Oryctolagus cuniculus: one gene and its partners. The protein of the gene in region 2 purifies or fractionates together with the protein of the main gene of each other region. This does not show direct contact. Links are inferred from orthologs where the notes say so. Each region holds a gene or a part of one and is shown on either strand. Other genes may lie near its edges.

What was found.
Region 1: the proteins of GOLGA7 (region 2) and CLDND1 purify together in Homo sapiens (affinity purification with mass spectrometry; 3 studies listed by BioGRID and IntAct, counting the BioPlex papers as one, with this or other methods). This does not show direct contact. The link is inferred for Oryctolagus cuniculus from reciprocal best matches to the Homo sapiens genes GOLGA7 and CLDND1.
Region 3: the proteins of GOLGA7 (region 2) and ZDHHC5 purify together in Homo sapiens (co-immunoprecipitation; 3 studies listed by BioGRID and IntAct, with this or other methods). This does not show direct contact. The link is inferred for Oryctolagus cuniculus from reciprocal best matches to the Homo sapiens genes GOLGA7 and ZDHHC5.

Annotation. Positions count from the first base shown.
Region 1 is NC_091435.1:52,939,342-52,945,588, forward strand, and holds the start of CLDND1 (claudin domain-containing protein 1), read right to left. Parts: upstream 3,981-6,247; 5' UTR 3,826-3,980; coding exon 3,819-3,825; intron 2,684-3,818; coding exon 2,640-2,683; intron 2,425-2,639; coding exon 2,115-2,424; intron 450-2,114; coding exon 339-449; intron 1-338. UniProt on the Homo sapiens protein: Plays a role in negatively regulating the permeability of cells to small molecules.
Region 2 is NC_091433.1:91,857,699-91,863,987, reverse strand, and holds the start of GOLGA7 (golgin subfamily A member 7), read right to left. Parts: upstream 3,949-6,289; 5' UTR 3,874-3,948; intron 3,792-3,873; exon of another isoform or gene 3,666-3,791; 5' UTR 3,644-3,665; coding exon 3,533-3,643; intron 1-3,532. UniProt on the Homo sapiens protein: May be involved in protein transport from Golgi to cell surface. The ZDHHC9-GOLGA7 complex is a palmitoyltransferase specific for HRAS and NRAS.
Region 3 is NC_091432.1:14,476,622-14,482,979, forward strand, and holds the start of ZDHHC5 (palmitoyltransferase ZDHHC5), read right to left. Parts: upstream 4,004-6,358; 5' UTR 3,662-4,003; intron 3,288-3,661; exon of another isoform or gene 2,981-3,287; intron 481-2,980; 5' UTR 1-480. UniProt on the Homo sapiens protein: Palmitoyltransferase that catalyzes the addition of palmitate onto various protein substrates such as CTNND2, CD36, GSDMD, NLRP3, NOD1, NOD2, STAT3 and S1PR1 thus plays a role in various biological processes including cell adhesion, inflammation, fatty acid uptake, bacterial sensing or cardiac functions.

The DNA of each region.
Region 1 (6,247 bases), on a different chromosome or scaffold from region 2:
CCGGGGTTGGGCTAAGCTAAAGCCAGGAGCCTATAACTCCATTCAACTCTCCGACCTGGGTGGCAGGGTCCCAAGGACTGGCCATCATTCATTGCTTTTCCAGGCACATTAACAGCAGGAAGCTCTTTGGGCAGTGGAGCAGCCAGGACTTCAACAGCGCTCATAGGAGATGCTGGCAAAGCAGGCCATAGCCACACGTGCTATACCACAATGCCAGCTCCTGGGATCTTATTTCAATATGACACTACTACCTCATCTTGTTCCAAAAGCAGAGTTAAATACAATACAAAATTATTTCCTTTCTCCCTCAATCGTCCTACTGAGATCAAAATACTCACAGGTCCGAAGTAGATCAATTCCACTATTGTGGTTTCCGGGATCAACAAATTTCTCCATGAACTGTTCATTTAGTGTGAAACTTACGCATTTTGTAACCACGTCAAATGACTCTGGAAAAAAACAATGACTGTTTGTAGTTTCCATTACAAACATTTAACAATAATCTCTTTTAGTAATTATTCTCTGAAATAAAAGGTGCTGTAAAAAAATATCACCATGAATTTCTTTGGTTCCAACCTGAAACAGGTCTTATCAAAGCCCAATGGATGCCACTGGTTCTGAGGATACATGCATGAGGAAGAAATAAAAGGAGTAAAATATCATCAAATAGCAATATAAGAAGAGCAGGAAGAAGGGGAGAGTACAAAGATTGAAATAATAGAAACTTTATCCTCTTCCCCCCACAACTAGTGAAGTCATGGCTCCCATTTCAGCAAAAAATTTCACCCATCCAGCTCCTCAGACAAGAAACTTTCCAGCCATTCTTGTCCATATAAACACCATCTGGAAATACTAGAAGTTCTTCTTTCAAAATATATCCACAATCCAGCTGTTGCTCACTATTACAACGGACTGAGTCACAATCACCTCTCATATGAATGACAGCATTAGCATCCTAATGAGTGCCCTAGCTTTCATCCTTGCCTGCTGCCCGCCTGTTCTCACTATATCATCCAGGGCAACCAGATCACGTCTTTCCACTCCTCTAAGTGTTCCTGCTCTAAAGGCTTTCCTATGTAGTCAAGAGTAAAAACTCACCTCCACATCATAGCTAGAGTACTGTATGATGTGCCCTACTCCTACCTAAGGGTTCATCTTTGACAGCATACCCAACTCTCCCCCACTCCTTCCATGGCAGCCCAGTAGGTTCTTTGGTGGTCCTTGAATACTTTAACCATGCTCCTGCCACAGTCTCTGTAGCCCTTGTTCCTTCCAACCTTAATGATCACCACCAGCCTCTGCCCTGCTGCCACGAACTACCCATATAGTTAACACCCTTATTTGGTCTTTACCTATACCAAGTCTTTATCATTTTATCAATGAAATCTATTCTAATTATCCTATGGAAAATCATAACCTATGCTTACAATATTCCTTTCCTGTATTTCCAAATCTTTTGCTTCATTCTTCCATGTTAAATGTCGTCATCTCACACACTGTATAATTATTTTGTTTATACTGTTACACTCCTTTATTCTGTTTATTGCCTGCCACCCTTAGCATTCTAATAAATGACAGCTCCCCACAACTAAGGATTTGTTCTCCAAGCTATAAAGCCCTGGAACACAGGGGCAGGCAGTAAATACTCAGTGAATAAATGACTTAACAACTAGTAGGATTCCAGTATCAAGTGCTCCAGGCCCTCCTAAACACAAGTGAACATTTTACAGTGAATTGTGACCAACTTTTCCACCTTTCCTTCACATGATTTCCTTTTCTTCATATATAATGATATACTATCACTTTTGATATATGGCAATTCAAACCTGTTCTGCTATGATTGAAAGATAAAGCTCCTCCGCTAAGCGACCAACCCAAGTAGTCATAAGTAAATTGTAAAGTTGTCCCTTACAAAGTGCTCTAAAGATCTGAATGGAGAACTAAAGCAGTAGCATGGCAATGCATAGAAGTTGGGGTGAAGAGGTGGTAGGGAGAGAAGAGACATAAGAAGACGTAAGATGCCCACAAATCTGCTTATATATAATTCAGCAATCATAGATCACTTTATGCTACTAAACAAGTACATTAGAGAGAAGTGAAAATAAGAGGAATACCTGTCCTTTCTGGCGGACTGTACCAATGTGTGTTTTTGGGTACGGTGATACACCGTCTCCACAATCCCATTGTGCCGTTGTATCGGAAAAGTGCATCGTTGTAAGTCTTTTCATCTGCCTCATCACTAATGAAGTCTTCCCAGATGCTTTTATTCCAATCACTTGAATTCTCTTGAACTGGACTTCGATACTCATACCAAAAGTCTGTGCCAATTGAGGCTGCCATGTAGATGGTGGAAATGAGGCTAAGCACACAAGCAATTACAAATGCTGTAGCAAAACGGTTATCCATTCTGGCATTCAGACTGCTCTGTTTAAAAGTTGAAGAAAGAAGATGTCAGACTTTACAAATAAGAAAGATTGTTTTGAAAGGAATTATCTCAGAATCACCCTTGAAACTACTCCCCATGCCTTGGTTTAGAGTAATAATATATTTTTAAATTAAAAAAAAAAAAAAGCAAGCACATTTTTAAGTGTAAGAACAAAACTCATTCCCATGAAAGTACTTATTGAATGCTCACATACCCAGGATGCTACGGAGACAGAGGTCTTGTTCTCTAGTCTATCACCTGCATACTAAAACAGACAACACTGAAATGGACATACACATTACAGATACAAACAGACATGCCCATGGTCAGCAGTGTACCGTGCACACATTTTTAAGTATAGACCGAATTTTTACACAAGCTGGAGAGCATTAAGGCGTTCTGGGTTTGAGCGTGAGAAAGGCACAGGAAAAGGAAGCAGTGAAAATCGGATTCTCCCAGTTTTCCTCTGAAGAGGGAAGCCTCCCAAAACAAGGGCAGGAGTCAGGAGCTATTTGAAAGAGTTGACAATGTTTGTTAAGTCGAGGGAAAGGTTGTCCTAGGTGTACGGAATAACAAGAAAACAATAACATGTAATAATGCTAGATATCCATCTCCCCATCTATCAAAGATAAGACAAGCTGCTTTATGCTGTGGAAATGTTTCACTCCTGTCTATTCTCTCCATTCCTAACACATCTGCGCCTCCTCACCTGCTACCTTGCTCTCTCTCTTAATCCTAAGGTGGAACATACCTTCCTAAAAACTAAGTGATCCCTCCTCAGACAGAAAGAAAACTCCGAATCAAGGCAAAATACATACACTCCCAAGACGTGGACAGGGCTCCACGGCAGTAGTAAATGGCCGCAGTAAAATGACTCAAGGCGGATCACGCTGAGTCAAATACTGCAAGTGTACACCGTGACCGCACCAAACACCTTAGGAAGGTGCAGGAAAACAGGCTCGCAAACTGGGGTTGCTGAGTTGGGAAGATGGGAAGTGACTCAGGAGAGATCAAAGTAATGACGATAATTAACGATAATTCAAGAAGTTGGGTTCATATTTTGATTTTTTTTTTTAAATCCCCTTTCATGCTGGGGCTCTCAAATGACCTCAGAAGGTCCCTACACAGGAGCGGCGGCTCCAGCGAGGCCAACGCCAGCTACGGCCTCCCGAGGCTGGGGCGGGGCAGCCCTGCGCCGCCCCCCGGCCAGGGGCCTCAGGTCCCCAACCAGGCCCCTGCCCAGACCGCTTGGCCCCCAGGAAATCCCCCTGCCGCTCAGAAGGCGCCCAGCTCCGGCGGCCGCCGCACACAGGAAAAGGGGCCCTCTGCAAACCACCGGGAAGCCGAACGGCTACGCGACCCCCGCCCGGCGACGCCAGCCCTACTCACTCACCGCCCATGCTCTTGCTCCAACAGCTTCACCCTCTAGCTCAGACCACAGCACCCTACTCTCCCCGCGCCTCCTCTGACGCACTTCCCTGCAGAACCCGCCCCCTCCATAACTCCCGCGCCTCCGCCTCCGCCTCCGCCTCCATCCCGGGCCTGGCCGCAGCCCGGGACCGAGGGGGCTTGTGGGAGTTGTAGGAGGGACAGAGGGAAAACTGCCAGAGAAGCCCGTTGGCATTCCTGGGGCCGCGCGCGATGTATTGTGGGGGATGTAGTCCAGCTCTGGAAGTCCAAGCGAACGCGGTCTTCTATCTTAAGGTCCAAAAAGTGAGACGGCCTGTATTCTGTCCTCGTTCTTTGTAATTGTGACCGAAATAGCTCATCCCTTTCTTTCAGTCCTGTGCTCTATCACGCCACCCTACTTCCAAATATAAAGGTAAATGAACAGCAATGCGATTCTAGTTTTCAAATGTTAATCCATTTTTTCCTCTCCCACAATCTCCCATTGGAGCGTTGAGTCTTTCTGACTTTATTACTTAAGTTTAGAATAAAAAGCATGTGATCCACCGAATGGTAAACATGTAGAATGTAATGACTTTATTCGGCTTCATAAATAATATCCCTTGGCTTCATAAAATTTATGTTTGTTGCTATCTTTTCTTTGTGACAAGGGATACTATTTGTCTATTGCAATGATGCAAGGTTTCCTTTTAGAATAAATTTCAGTTAATTAAAAAGAAGACTTAGGATATGAATATCTCAAAAAATGCGGATAAAAATTTGTTGCTAGTGTGCACCCTTGAGTGGCAGCAGGTGGTTGCTGACTCAAGTGGTTAGGTCCCTGCCACCCACCTGGGGGACCTGGATTGTGCTCCTAGCTCCCAGCTTTTGAGAAAGGACCAACAGATGGGAATCCCACCGCCTTTTCCTCCCTCTTCCTTCCTCTCTTTCATCCTCTCTGTGTCTCAAATAACTGAGTAAATTAAATTTGTTTTTTTAAAATTTGTGAATACAATATGAAAAAGTTTAGGAGATACTACCTAAAAGAGATAAGGTCTTGGACCACACTGGAGACCACAGTTGTGTGGCACAGAAGCAACAGAATGATTCTAAGCCCTCACATGTTGCACAGAAATTCTTTTCCAGGAAGTAGGAACACCTGGACAGCAACATATGGGGACCCTTGAACATTGCATGGGACCGGTGAAGGATGAATTTCCAACAGACACCTACAGAGACAGTTGACTCGAGGACCAGAGGAGCCCTGGAACTCCCCCAAATCCCCAGTGCCTATCAAATTTAGCCACTGCATACAGGAAAGGTGGAAGCCCCAGAGTTGGTATCAAATTCCTTCCATTCTGACAGAGTCACCTCAGTTGGTGAGTTGATATTCAGATCTAGTACACAAATAAAGTAAGGTAATATTATAACATTCAAATTTAATTCTCGATTTTAATGCAAAACAGAATTTTGTCTGAGCCATCAGAGAAAGTAGTGGAGGTACACAAGAAAATTACTAACGTGCTAGTAAGGTTCAGGAATGCACTCACAGATTAGGAAATATCTTCAACCCTTGGCCTGCATTAGAAATCCCCCACTTTCAGGTCCCATAGGGGTCATATGGTCAATAAAACCAGATAAAAAGGGAAGTTTGAAAAAAAGTAAAGAAACAACCTGGTTCACAGAGGAACTGAGACACAGGGAGAGTAACTGACTTGGGAAACTTCAATATTGGGATGAGTGTCCTAACTTTTGTGACCGCACACTTTACTTAACCTTTACATCTTAATTGTCTTTTTCCCAAGCCATGGATGTTGAACAGTAGAATCTATCCCATGAGATCATTTGTGAGCTGCAGATTAGAAAATACATGTAATTGCCCAGCACAGGACCTAGGGTTTAGGAAAGAATCATTGGATTATCAGTCTTTGCAAATATTTGTTGACTGAAGTCAGTGTAATTAGCTTTTGCAAGGCTCCTGTTTCCCCTGGGGGCTGGAAATAAGTCATTTACAGAGCTGGTTAGCTGTCCTCCCTTAGCTCTACTCAGGAGATTCCCAGGCCTGGACTCCATCGTACACAAGTGATCATGACTCAGAAGGTGATGTGTCTGGGAGATCTGAAAAGCAGGAGGATGCTTTCAACCTTTCAAGTGTGCTAAATGCCCAGGAAACACTCAGGACATGTTTCACTCACTGAGCGTGGACCTGAAAGTGCCTGCATGTTTGAGATTTTAACCATCCTGACTCCCTCCGCATAGAAAGCCTGAACTGCTTCATCACACCCAATTCCACCAACCACACAAACCACGTTTCTGGCTTATCTCTGTGTCTTTGGTGTTTTCTAATTTCTGTTTATGCTCGCTTGTCATTGGGTGTGTAAAGTAAATACTAATTTCATGGAGCTAAATTTATGTTTTTGTTTCGAACTCTGCTAT
Region 2 (6,289 bases):
GGTGTGTCACAGTGTATGGTCAGCCTTAAGCTACTAAATCCCCTGGGCCAGAAGCAGTGGTGACCAGTCCTGCCCTTTGGGTAGAAAGCCAGGAAGAGTCCAGGAGCCAGCGGCATGCAAAGCTTCATGAGCTGTCAAGTGGAGGCACCGGGCCTGTTTCCAACCTCCCAGAATACATCTGAGCTGTGGGCAAAGCTGGGTGGGGGAGACGGGGGCGAGCGAGGGTGCGTCCCTCACGGTCCCCCATCCTGGGAGGCGGCCTGAGGAGGGCGCTCAGGACACAGGTGCTGCTGGCACGGTCACGTGCCCCTCGTTAGCGCGGTCAGGTTTCCTGCTTTGACTCTAAGCATATCTGCCTTGCCTGGCTCATTCCGATCTGGTAAGAACGTCCTTTGAGATACACTTTCTTACATAGGAGTCAAAACCATGGGCTCCAACCCGGAAACACCTTATTTCTTTCAGATTAGAATTACTGTTAAGACCAGAAAGAGGGGCTAGCGGTGTGGCTTGGTAGGCTAAGCCTTGCCTGCAACGCTGGCATCCTATACAGGTGCTGGTTCATGTCCTGGCTGCTCCTCTTCTGATCCAGCTCTCTGCTATGGCCTGGGAAAGCAGCAGAAGACGGCCCAAGTCCCTGGGCCCCTGCACCCATGCGGGAGACCCGGAGAAAACTCCTGGCTCCTGGCTTTGGGTCTGCCCAGCTCCAGCCGTTGTGGCCATTTGGGGAGTGAACCAGCAGATGGAAGACCCGTCTCTCTCTCTCTCTCTCTCCATCTGTAACTCTACCTCTCAAATAAATCATAAATTTTTTTTAAAAAGAAGAGACTAGAAAAAAGGAGAGGTAAGCAGAAGCTTCTGGAAAGCTATGAGAAAAGAGAGGGAGCTGAAAGCACGGAGGCAGCAGGTGCGGCATCAGAAGCTGGAGGCGCGGGAAGCCCGGGGCCATGTGCCAACGTGGGCCAGGGAGCCCTGTGAGTCCCGAAGCCAAGAGCAATCCGGCGCGCCTTTCCACGTGCGGTGTGTCCGTGGCACCGCGGGTCTGACGGTGCCGGTCAACCAGACACAGAGGGCAGGGTCACCTGCCTCAGCCACAGCGCACGCACGGCCGTCTCCCCGGGCTACGGGTGACAGAGACCTCTGCCTGCTGCCAGAAGTGACAATTAAGCTTCCGGTAAAGAACTCTTCCGGCGGGAGAGCCCGAGCACAAAGGCCTGGGTTCTCGGGCAGAGGCGAAAGTGAACTTGAGAACAACGCCTGGCCCTCGCTCCCTCCTGGAAGGACACACGGATGCTCTCACGCCAGACATCTGTGCGTCAGCCTCTCCCACTACTGAAAGGCAGGGCTGCCATGTCCTCCCACAGGGCGACTCAGCCCCCGTGGGGGAGCAACCCGCAACATTTCCAGGGCAAGTTAGAGAGAAACAAGGCAAGCAAGCCAGGAAAAATTAAACCTGTAATTTACATGTAATCTCAACAGACACACACGCAAAAGTGGTTAAAACACAAGCTAGTGTGTTTTATCCTAAAGATGTAACAAGGAAAAAAAAGAGCACTCAAAGGCACTGCCGAGCGCTGTAGTACTCAGCACGTCAGCTCTGGGCCAAGAGAAGTCCACGCAGTAGGAGGGCTCCAGGATCTAGAAACGTCCACTTCCCACACCCATCGGGCAGCATGCTAACTGCATCGCACTGCCGTATTTAGACCGCAAGGGCGAGGCTGCCCCCCACAGGCACGCACCCGCACAATGGGCACACACACAGACAGGCACATGGGCACACGCAACTGCAGACATGCACACACACACATAGACACACGCACGTGCAGACATGCACACACACATGCCCACACGGACACACATGTGCAGATACCCAGACACAGGCCCGTGCAGACATGCACACATACATGCCCACACGGACACACATGTGCAGATATCCAGACACAGGCCCGTGCAGACATGCACACATACATGCCCACACGGACACACACGTGCAGACATGCACACAGACACAGGCACGTGCAGACACACATACATACACACACATGCAGACACACACGTACAGATATCCAGACAAGGCACGTGCAGACATGCACAATACATGCACACGCAAACACACATGTGGACACACACGTGCAGACATGCACACATACATGCACACGCAGACACACATGCAGATATGCACACTACACACAGACACATGCCCACATACACGTGCAGATATCCACAGACACACGCACGTGCAGACATGCACACTACACGCAGACACACACGCGCAGATATCCACACACATACGCAGACACACGCAGTGCAGATATGCACACATACACACACGCGGACACAGGCCCACGCAGACACACACGTGCAGATATCCAAACACACACACATGCAGGCACACACACACGCTCACACACATGCATGTGCACCCAACCACACGCACCCACACCCATACATCTGGCTCAACTAGGAAGCAAAAGTTTGACTCCAAAACCTACAAACAAAGGAATCTTGTAACATCCAAAGGACTGTGGTGGAGAAAGCAGAGTTTACATTCTGATTTGAAAGTTCATGAATCTCAGAGTCTCCCCGAGGAGGCTTGAACAGAAAACATTTATTTCACACTAAGAAATCCATGCCGACCGTGTGGCCCGAGCGGTCCAACAGCGGCGCTCAGCAGCCCCGGCCACGAGGCCACTTGCTCAGCTTCTACCTCTTCACCCGGCCGTGCTGCCCACACACCTGAGTGGCATTTCACAGGTTCGCTATACCCCTACCTTGAACGGGCACGCTTGGGCTTCTAATCCACCCACGACCCTGCCCGGTGGTATAACCAAGCTGGGGAAAAACCACAGTGGCGGATTTCCGGTCCCGGGCGAGCAGGTGCACCTACGCCCTCAGCTAGAGACCTCAGGCCCAGGTCTGAGCGTTACTGCCCGAATCACGCCAGTGTCACCTCTCAGGCCCTCAGCCTCCCAGCCAAAGGATCAGCAGCCGCCAAACTCGCTCCCGGCCAACCAGCCAACTAGAGTCTCCCTGGCCGCGTCACCCACCGGGGGCCACGCTGCCCCCCACCCCGTTAGGACCCGCTGCACCTGTCACAACCACGACACGGCGCTTTGCCTTTTCTAGGTCTGGCTACACAGCAGACAGCCAGCCCCGCTTCCCACTTCTGCAAAGCCAGCACTACCCAGGCCCCAGCCGGCGACTCCCAGCGACGCCCCCATTTCGGGTTGCAGCACTTGGGAAACCCCCGACGGCCCCTGCAGCGGCCGGAAGCGCCGGTCACGAGGAAGCCGGGGATTCCTCCGTGCGTGGGCAGGCAGCAGGACGCGGCCCACACCTGCCCAGCCAGGTTCAGCGCCCTGGTCAACAACAACGCGGGGTGGGGCCGTGAGGCCGTCGCCCCGGGGCTCCGCCGCACCGCTCCTCTCCCCAAACACGGGTCCCCGCCCGGCCCCCGGCGTCCGCCGCCGCCCCCGCCCCCGCCCCGGGGCCGCGCCCTCGCCGCGCGGCAGGTGCAGGGAGCCCGGCTGCGTACCCGGTTCTCCAGCTCCGCGGGGAACTTGGTCTGGAACTGGCAGCGGGTGCCGCTGCTGTAGTCTCGCTGAATGAACACCTTCCCGGACACCGGCGCCTGCTGCGGCCTCATGGCGAGGGCTGGACCGGCCGCGCTGTGGGGTCACGGGGAGGGGAGGGGGCACCACGGGTCAGACGCCCGGGCGGGACCCCGGGCTCTGGCCCGCCAAGCCCTCGGGCCCACCCGCCGCCCAACGCAGCCCCAGGCCGCTCCCGCCCCGCTCCCCAGCACCCATGCTGAGCCCCCGCCCCGGTACGGCCTCCGCGCCCCCCACAGCCCGGTTCGGCCCGGGAAGCACCAACCCGCCTCCTCTGCCCTCCAGCTGCTGTCGCGCCGCCGTCACCGTCACTTACGTCCTGCCGCAAAAGGCCTCCGGCCCCGCCCCTCAGCTAGGCCTTCTCCTCAAGCCGCTGGCCCGCCCCGCCCTCCGACCGTAAAGCAGGCCGCTGGCTGCCGTGCGGGGCGTACTGGGGGGCGTGTCCCGGCAGGCCCCGCCCTCGGCCGGGCGGAAGGAAGTCCGGGCGGAAGCTGGCCTGTAGGGTGGCATTCCTGTCGGTGTCGGTGGAGGCCAGGGCGTTCCTGCTAGTTGCTCCTAAGGGCTTGTTTTCGTTCTGAGTCGCCTACGTGTGAGTCGCATCTCGCGACTCGAGTACAAAACAAAAACGCAGCGAACAAAACCCAAAGAGCTCTGCCCCCAAAATAATAATAATAATAACCCAGACAGAAACCCAACTGCTCGCCCATATCTGGAAATAGAAAGCGGACCGCCGGGCACCCACTGGCCCCTCGGGGAACTCCTGGAGACTTGGACCGTGGTCCGGTGTCCGGCCTCGGCCTCCGCCTCCGCCCTCGGTGTCCTGGCTGCTGCCAGCGACGACGGTCCCAGACCGCCCTGCCCGGGCCTGTGCCTCCTGACCAACAGAGTAACAGCCCCGCTGTCTGATCCTACCTTGTGCATATTGAAATTTTTATCATTTCTAATTTTTTTTTTTAACTTGAGAGCCATCCGCTGGTTTGCTGCTCAAATGGGGCCAAAGCCAGTAGCTGGGAACTGTATCAGCCTCCCACGTGGGTGGCAGGGGCCCCAGCACTTGAGTCATCACCTGCTGCCTGTAGTTAGTTGGAAGTCAAGACGGGGATTGAACCCAGGTACGTCCACGTGAGACATAGGGTTGCATCCACCAGGCTAAGTGTACGTCCCACTTACTGTGTTTTACTAGTTTTGTTTGGGCACAGTGACAGAGAGATGGGGAGGCAGAGATACTCCAAAAGCTGGTTCATTTAACAAATGGCTTCAACAGCTGGGCCGGGGCCGGGCTGAAGCCAGGAGCCTGGAACTCCATCCAAGTCTCCCACGTGGGTGCAGGGGCCTGAACACTCCGGAGTCTTCTGCTGCTTTCCCAGGCGCGTTAGCAGGGAGCTGGATGGGAAGTGGAGCAGCCTGGGGCTGGGACCGGCGCTTGGTTGTTGCAAGTTGTGGCTTAACCCGCTGCTGCAACAGTGTCGGCCCCCTGTGTCTTAAAAGCAGCTTTAATAAGGTCTAAACGGCAAACGACACTCGGCTGCCGAGAAAGTGGACAATTGGCTGGGTTCTGACCATCAGAGCCAAGATGTGAGTTCACCTTCCTCAGAGATTCCTGTGCGCCTCTGTAGCCCACCCCCACTTCCGGCCTAGTGCGTCATTCACTCCTGCTTTTTGTTCAGTGGGAATCGCGGGCGGTGGGTAGTGTTGTGTCATTGTCCAGCCCCCTCCCTAAGTGCACTCCATGTCTATCTCCTGGGAAAATCTGGATGGGGGAGGGACAGAGAAGAAGTGCTTGTTCCTTGTCACAGTTCAGAACAGAAGTCCCTCTTTGGCCACAGGTGTCATCCTGGGGACATGAGATTTTTTTTTTTTTTTGACAGGCAGAGTGGACAGTGAGAGAGACAGAGAGAAAGGTCTTCCTTTTGCCGTTAGTTCACCCTCCAATGGCCGCCGCACCGCGCTGATCCGATGGCAGGAGCCAGGTGCTTCTCCTGGTCTCCCATGGGGTGCAGGGCCCAAGCACTTGGGCCATCCTCCACTGCACTCCCTGGCCACAGCAGAGAGCTGGCCTGGAAGAGGGGCAACTGGGACAGAATCCAGCACCCTGACCGGGACTAGAACCCGGTGTGCCGGCGCCGCAAGGTGGAGGATTAGCCTAGTGAGCCGCGGCGCCAGCGGGACATGAGATTTGACGTGGCCGAAGGTGGTGCATCTGTGCCTGGAGGAACCAGGTGCTCTCTTGGGAGCACCAAGAGATCTGGTGAGTTGGCAGAAGCCTGGGACTTGGGACGAGGGGCTGTGCAAGGCGAAGGCCTTTGGCTGGGCTTGCAGGTTTCTGCGTGGTGGGAAGGGTAATGCAGCACCTGCTACAAGCCAGTGGTGCCCGGAGACCTGCAGGCCAAGCTCTAGAGGGCCCCAGAACAAGAGTCCACATCCCCCCCTACAGGGCAGAGTGACGTGCAGACTTCCCTGGAACTCAGAGCCCCCAGGAGAAGCTCATTGAACCGAAGACCCAACCCCCCAACCCGGCTGAAGAAAGTACCTGGGTTAGAAGAGAAGCTTTTTTTTTTTTTTTTTTTTTTTTTTTTGAATGGGTAAGTTCAAGTTCAAGGAGTTCTTGGCTCCCAGTAAGAATCAAGAGAATGAAGTTTCTTTCCTCACCTGTCACCTGTCATCTCTCAGAAGCCACCCCT
Region 3 (6,358 bases), on a different chromosome or scaffold from region 2:
TGTAGTCCTTGTCCGTTTTAAGCAGTCTTCTCAATGCCACCACTCCCACACCTTGACTTCACCAGGGTTTGTAGTCTGTGGCAATGGTGGGTTAATTTTATTTATTTCTCTCTTGATGGCTAATGCTGGACTACAGCTGTTACGAGTTGAGTTGTAAATACTTTTCTTTGAAGAAGAGAGAAAACAGCGAGAGAGCAAGCTTGTCTGTCTTCAATCTCTTGTTAATCCCAAGCCCTTCAAGGGCTCCGTTTCCTACAGAGTTCATGCAAAACTGAAGGAAAACTTAAAATCCTTGAAGCCATTTCTTCCCAATAAGCAGAATAAGATGAACAAATCAATTCCACGTGATACTTTAAAAAAGAACTCAGGATGAAAGCGAAGTTCCACAGATGTCCCTGCTTCCAGGTCAATGTGTCTGGTCTGTCTTCTTCAATCCTGGGCTTTCCGGACACAGAGTTCAACGGGGTTACAGTGCCTCACCTGGAGAAAAACAAATACCTCTATCAAAAAATCCTTTCAGGGCATTTCTTAAGAACAAGGCTAAAAGTTCCACAGGCTACTCTGTTAAAAAAATGTGTTTTGAAAGAAAGATTATTTTCCACTTCTCTTATATGTATGTGGGAAAGGACTCGGAATGGGGAGGAAAAAAAGGATTTAAAATCCTCTACTCAGAATTCTAAGTGCTGTTGAGATCAGAACAAGGAGAACATGGTTTTACTTGGTCTAAGGTCATCAAAGAACTAGTTCTTGTAAGGGACCCATCTCCTCTGACACAAACAAGCAGCAATAAATATAGAACAGTCAAAGGGCCGGTGCTGTGGTGTGGCGAGTAAAGCTGCTGCCTGCAGTGCCAGCATCCCATATGGGCACCAGTTTGAGTCCCAGCTGTTCCACTTCCAATCCAGCTCTCTGCTATGGCCTGGGAAAGCAATAAAAGATGGCCCATGTCCTTGGGCCCCTGCATCCACGGGGAAGACCTGAAAGAAGCTTCTGGCTTCGGATTGGCATAGCTCTGACCGCTGCGGCCAATTAGGGAGTGAATCAGCGGATGGAAGAACTCTCTCTCTCTCTCTCTGCCTCTCCTTCTCTGTGTAACTCTTTCAAATAAATAAATAAATCTTAAAAAAAAAAAGTCAAAAACTAAAAACAAGGGTACAACTGTAAAGGGAGGGCCTAAAACAGAGGTTTCTCTTTGGACACAGTATTGCTACAACGAAAAATGAAAAACCCAACTCATATTAGGACAGCAAGTCTCATTTCCTTTTTGTGTATGTCTCTCCCTTATCCCTCTGTGCCTTGTAGTTATGATACTGAGGAGGCAGAAGTTGAATTGTTGGTCTTCTGGGATCACCCACTAAGGACCTTGCATCAAATAGATGAGATCCCATCTATGAGAAGCTGAAGCTACCATAAAGGTTAGTCCCTTTCTTTCCAATTCAAAAGTTTTTCATTCCTACATTGGCCTATTAGGAAGTAAAGTGAGCCCCACCTACCCCAATATGATTAAAAGTAACAATTACTTCTGTTGATGATAGTAACAAAATAACATCAGCACCCTGACTTTATAGGATGCTTTTCATCTAGTGATCTCAAAGCACTTTACTCACATTATCTGGTGACACAGTCCCTTATCCCACTCTGTAAAATTGAAGGCTAGAGAATGCCTGAGGGCACTCCACTGAATCACTTGGGCAGCCAGGTTCAGAAGCCAAGAGTTCACATGCCCCTTTGCTGACAAACCCTTTCTACCTCTTGTTTATCCACTATACTAACTGCCCAATGACGACAACTTGAAATCTGTACACCACAAAATTTACTGAAGTTAGAACTTAAAAACAAAGCAATTTTATTCTCCTCAAGCAGTCTGGTATTTCTTAATGCCAGAGGTAGAGATTGAAAGTATCAGAAAATTTGGATAATAAAAATACAAATGTACCTTGAATTCATCATTTTCGTTCTCACCTGTGGCATGGAAAGCAAAGGCACCTTCCTTCAAGATTCATCATTTCTGTCCTTAAAAACAGGGCTTCAGGGGCGGGCATTTACCACAGCTGTTAAGATGCTGCCTGGGACACCTGCATCCCACACTGGCCTCCTCTCCTTCCAACCCAGCTTCCTGCTAATGCACACTCTGGGAGGCAGCAGGTGATGGCTTAAGGACTGGGCTTTGTCACCCACATGGGAGACCTGGACTGAATTCAGGACTCCTGGCCTCAGCCAAGCCTAACCTGGACTGCTGCAAGCATTTGGGAAGTGAACCAGCAGATGCAAGGTTTGTCTCTGCGTCTGTCTCTGCTTTTCAAATAAATAAATATTTTAAAAGAAGGGGCAGGATGAAACCTAAAAATTTCCTGGGTATGTAGAGAGACATACTAAGTCTTAGCAGAAGGATCTACTGCAGATGGCAGGGATGAGATTGGAAGGGTAAATGTCGTTCAACAGTGGCAACAGCGTGGATCCACATCAGTATCAAAAAATATACAAGGGCATATGCGACATATTCAGGCACACGGTCAACTATGGAATGAAAATATGCACATATAAAACGAATACTATAGGACACGTACTTTGAGAGCTTTAATAAGATTGAACACAAATACCTCCTTAAAGGGGTTAAGGGATCCGAACAGTATCCCTGGCAACACAGACATTGCTTGCTGAAACAAGGTGGTGTAACAGCACAATACAGGAAAAGCTAAAAACACAGCCATTGAAGTGCCATGGAATAATCCATGTTGAGATATCGGGGGGAAAAAAAAGAGTCAAAAGTTTAATGTGGATTTTATCACTATATATCAAGGTAGCAAAGTACATGGCAATACAATTCTTGTAAACACTTGACGGGTTCTCTGGAATGGCCTATAGCGAGCCCTCCTTAGAAATCCGACACAGGACTGAAGGGCTAATCGGGATAAAAGGTGGGAATGCAAACGTGAAATCAACCTGGGCAAGATGGCATTAACCAGGAAGTGAAAAACGCAGGGCAAAAAAACGATCTGGAGTCAGTAACTTTGAGCCACTTTCTTCCTTCTCGCGGCCGTGTTTTCAATCGGTCAAGGGGGTGAGACACCCTCACCCCCCGCCCCACAAAGAGATCCCTACAGGTAAAAACACCGGCGAACACGTTCGGGCTCCACTGGCAAAAAGTACAAAGTACTGGCAGCACGGAGCCCTCGGCCGGTGGGGTTGGAGGGTGGAAAAGCACAGGTTACAGGACGAAGCTCGAGTGGAGAACTCGAAACGCACGGTCAAAGGGGGAACGGCACCGAACCCGTCCCCGGGCACAGGTAACGTCCACGGAGCCCCAGAGGGCGGAATCCGCGGCGGCGGGGCCCACCGAGGCTGGGGGAGCGAGCGGCGGAGGGCCGGGGGCGGAAGGGGCGGCGGCTGGGTGCCAGGCTCCGAAGACCGCAGTCCGGAGCCCGGCGGCCCGGCACTACCCGGTCCCGAGCCCCGGCGGCCCTGGATCCCAGCCTCGACTCGTCGGCCGTTTCAGGGGCCCACGGGTCCCTGCCGCGGCTGGATGACCCGGCCTGGAGCAGGGCCGGGGCCTTAACCCCCTCCCCCGCTCCGGTCCCCCTTCCCTAGAGGTCACTCTCCCCTCCCACCTCACTGGCCCGGCACTTCCGGTTCCGCAGGGGCCGGCGTCCCCGGTACTCACCCCCGGAGCGGCGCCCGTCACCGCCGCCGTCGTTGTCACCGCCGCCTCCCGGCAGTGCCGTCCGGCCTCTGAGAGGCAGCGCGCGGCCCCCGCACGCTCCACGCCCGCCCCGCTCCCGCGCGCTCCCGCCTGGCGACGCTCGTCAGCGAGCCGGCGCGCGGCCGTTGCGCTCAGTGCCGGGTCTCGAGCCCTCCCAGCGTTCCCATTGGCTCCCTGGCCCGGGCGCGCGCGACGTCTCGCGCTGGGCACGTTTCTCTCATTCATGCGGCTCACGCCGTCGCGCCCGCCCCTGCTCACTCTCCCATTCACCCACAGCCCCCACCCCGTCTCCCCTCTGGGGCGTGCGCGCGAACCGCGGCGACCGCGGCGACCTCGCCGTCTGATTGGCTGTAGGAGCACAGCGCCGTACGCACGCAAGAAGACGAGAACGCGCGCGCAAGGGCGTCGGGTTCCGCTGACGACTAGGCGAGCAGGGTCGGCATACTGTGCGGGAGTCGAGAATGAGGAAATGGCCGGGAGACTCCCTCCGTTTCCTGCGCCTTGTTTTCTGTCCCTGTTGTATCCTAACGGAAACCCTCGGAAATAAAAAAGAATTATGCGTGTGTGCTGGAAGTACTCACAAGCAAGCAGCTCGTCTCTCGAATTTGCCAACCCCCCCTCCAAGTAAGTGTGGTACAGTCCAGACAGGCTTCTAGCCTGACCAATCACCGATGAGTCTCGCGGTCTTCCTGCTTCGCCCCTTCACGCGTTGGCCAACCGCTTGGCGATTAAGTAGGCCTCCTTCCATCCCGCCCCCTCCCTTTTTTGATGGCAAAAACTTTATTTAAAACGATGTTGGCGAAGTATTCGCCTCTGCGAGTCCCCTGTGCCCGGGTGGCGGAATGGCCCGGGCTGTGGCTCCCACACGGAGGGGGCGCCCGGACGAGAAGAGGCAGTGTGGGGCGAAGCTCCTGCCGAGGGGCCGGGGAGAAAGGCGGAGGAGAGCCGGCACGAGCCTCGGAGCCTCGAGTGCCAGCGGCGGCCGAGTCCAGGCTGCCCTTAACTCCATTAGTTTCCCACGGCCACACGGCGGGTGGAGCGCCCGCACCCCTGACCTCACCTAGTTAGAGAAGACAAGCAGGAAATACCGGGCTCTCTTAAACAGCCCCAGTCCCTAGCGAGCTGCTGGCCAGGTGTCCGTAGAGCGCAGCGGTTATTAGCCCGAGACCCCGATGAACCCAACAGCAGTGCCACGTGTCCTCTGGCCATTCCTCTCCTGAAGGCAGCACCTTCCAAAAGGTGTCCCCCGCCCACTTCTCTGAAGCCGTGGTTCCTTAGCTTCAGAGGCGATGCTAAGTCCTGCTGACTGCCCCGTTGCTGACATTTTAACACTGGGCACCAAAAGGCCAAGGGCGGCCTTCTGTTTTCTGGAGTCTCGTCCGGTTCCTTCTCTGACTTACAGAAAGCACATGTCATCAGTTCTGGCTCATTCTTGTTAAGGGCTTCAATCCAGCATTTATTGCAACTCCCTGGAGAGTTCTTTTTAATCAGTGTATATTTTTAAGTCTTCCAAGGGTGGGAAACATCCAGCCCTCAGGTCGTATAAGGCCCACAGAATCATTTGTTCTGGCAACCATAGGCAGCACTAGAAATTCCATAAATCTATGGAAGGCTAATTTTTAAGTTGATAACTTTGTATGTCCCACTACTGATGTTATAAGTATCAAATGGTCCTTGGTAAAAAGAAAGAGACCACTACTGATGTTATAAGGTCCTTGGTAGAAAGAGAGAGAGAGAGAGAGAGAGAGAGAGAGAGAGAGAGAGAGAGAGAGAGAGGCAGAAAGAAAAAGAAAGAAGAAAAAAGGAAGGAGGGAGGGAGGGAGGAAAGGAAGGAAGAAAGTTCCCCACCTTGGCTAACCCTCTACCAGGTAAATTTAAGTTGCTGGAGGAGCCAGTGTTGTGGCACAGCAGGTGAAGCTGCCACCCGCGACACTGGAATCTCAGGAGCACAGGTTCCAGTCCTGGCGGCTGCACTTCTGATCCAGCTCCCTGCCTTTCAAATAAATGAATACATATTTTTTTAAAAGATGTATTTATTTATTTGAGAGGAAGAGTTACAGACAGGCAGAAGCAGAGAGAGAAAGAATGAGTCTTCCATCTGCTGGTTCACTCCCCAGATGACCACAGTGGCCAGAGCTGCGCCTATCAGAAGCCAGGAGCTTCTTCCGGGCCTCCCACATGGGTGCAGGGGCCCAAGGACTTGGGCCATCTTCCACTGCTTTCCCAGGCCATAGCAGAGAGCTGGATCGGAAGTGGAGCAGCCGGGGCTTGAACTGCATGCGGCGACTTTACCCGATACGCCACTGCACCAGTCCCAGTTCATATTCTTTTTTTAAAAAAATGTTACCAGAGAGAAAATTTTTACTTATTTTTTTACCTGTCACCATGTTGTTTCCTTCACAGGAAGTTAACTTTCATTTTCCAGGTGTCTATTTGACTCCGATTTTAAGATGTTCTCATTTCTTCACCTCACAAATTAAAATTTTATTTTCCTACTTTTAACTAAGAACCTGTAATTATGGATGTCTGTTGGCTAGACTGTGCTGAAAGGGGAGGAGAAGTTAACATTCCACCATCCAACTACACATAAGGATCACTCCAGGACACTAGAATACTGGGTTGCAAACCTCTTTCTTAGCTAGATGAGCACCAACAGAG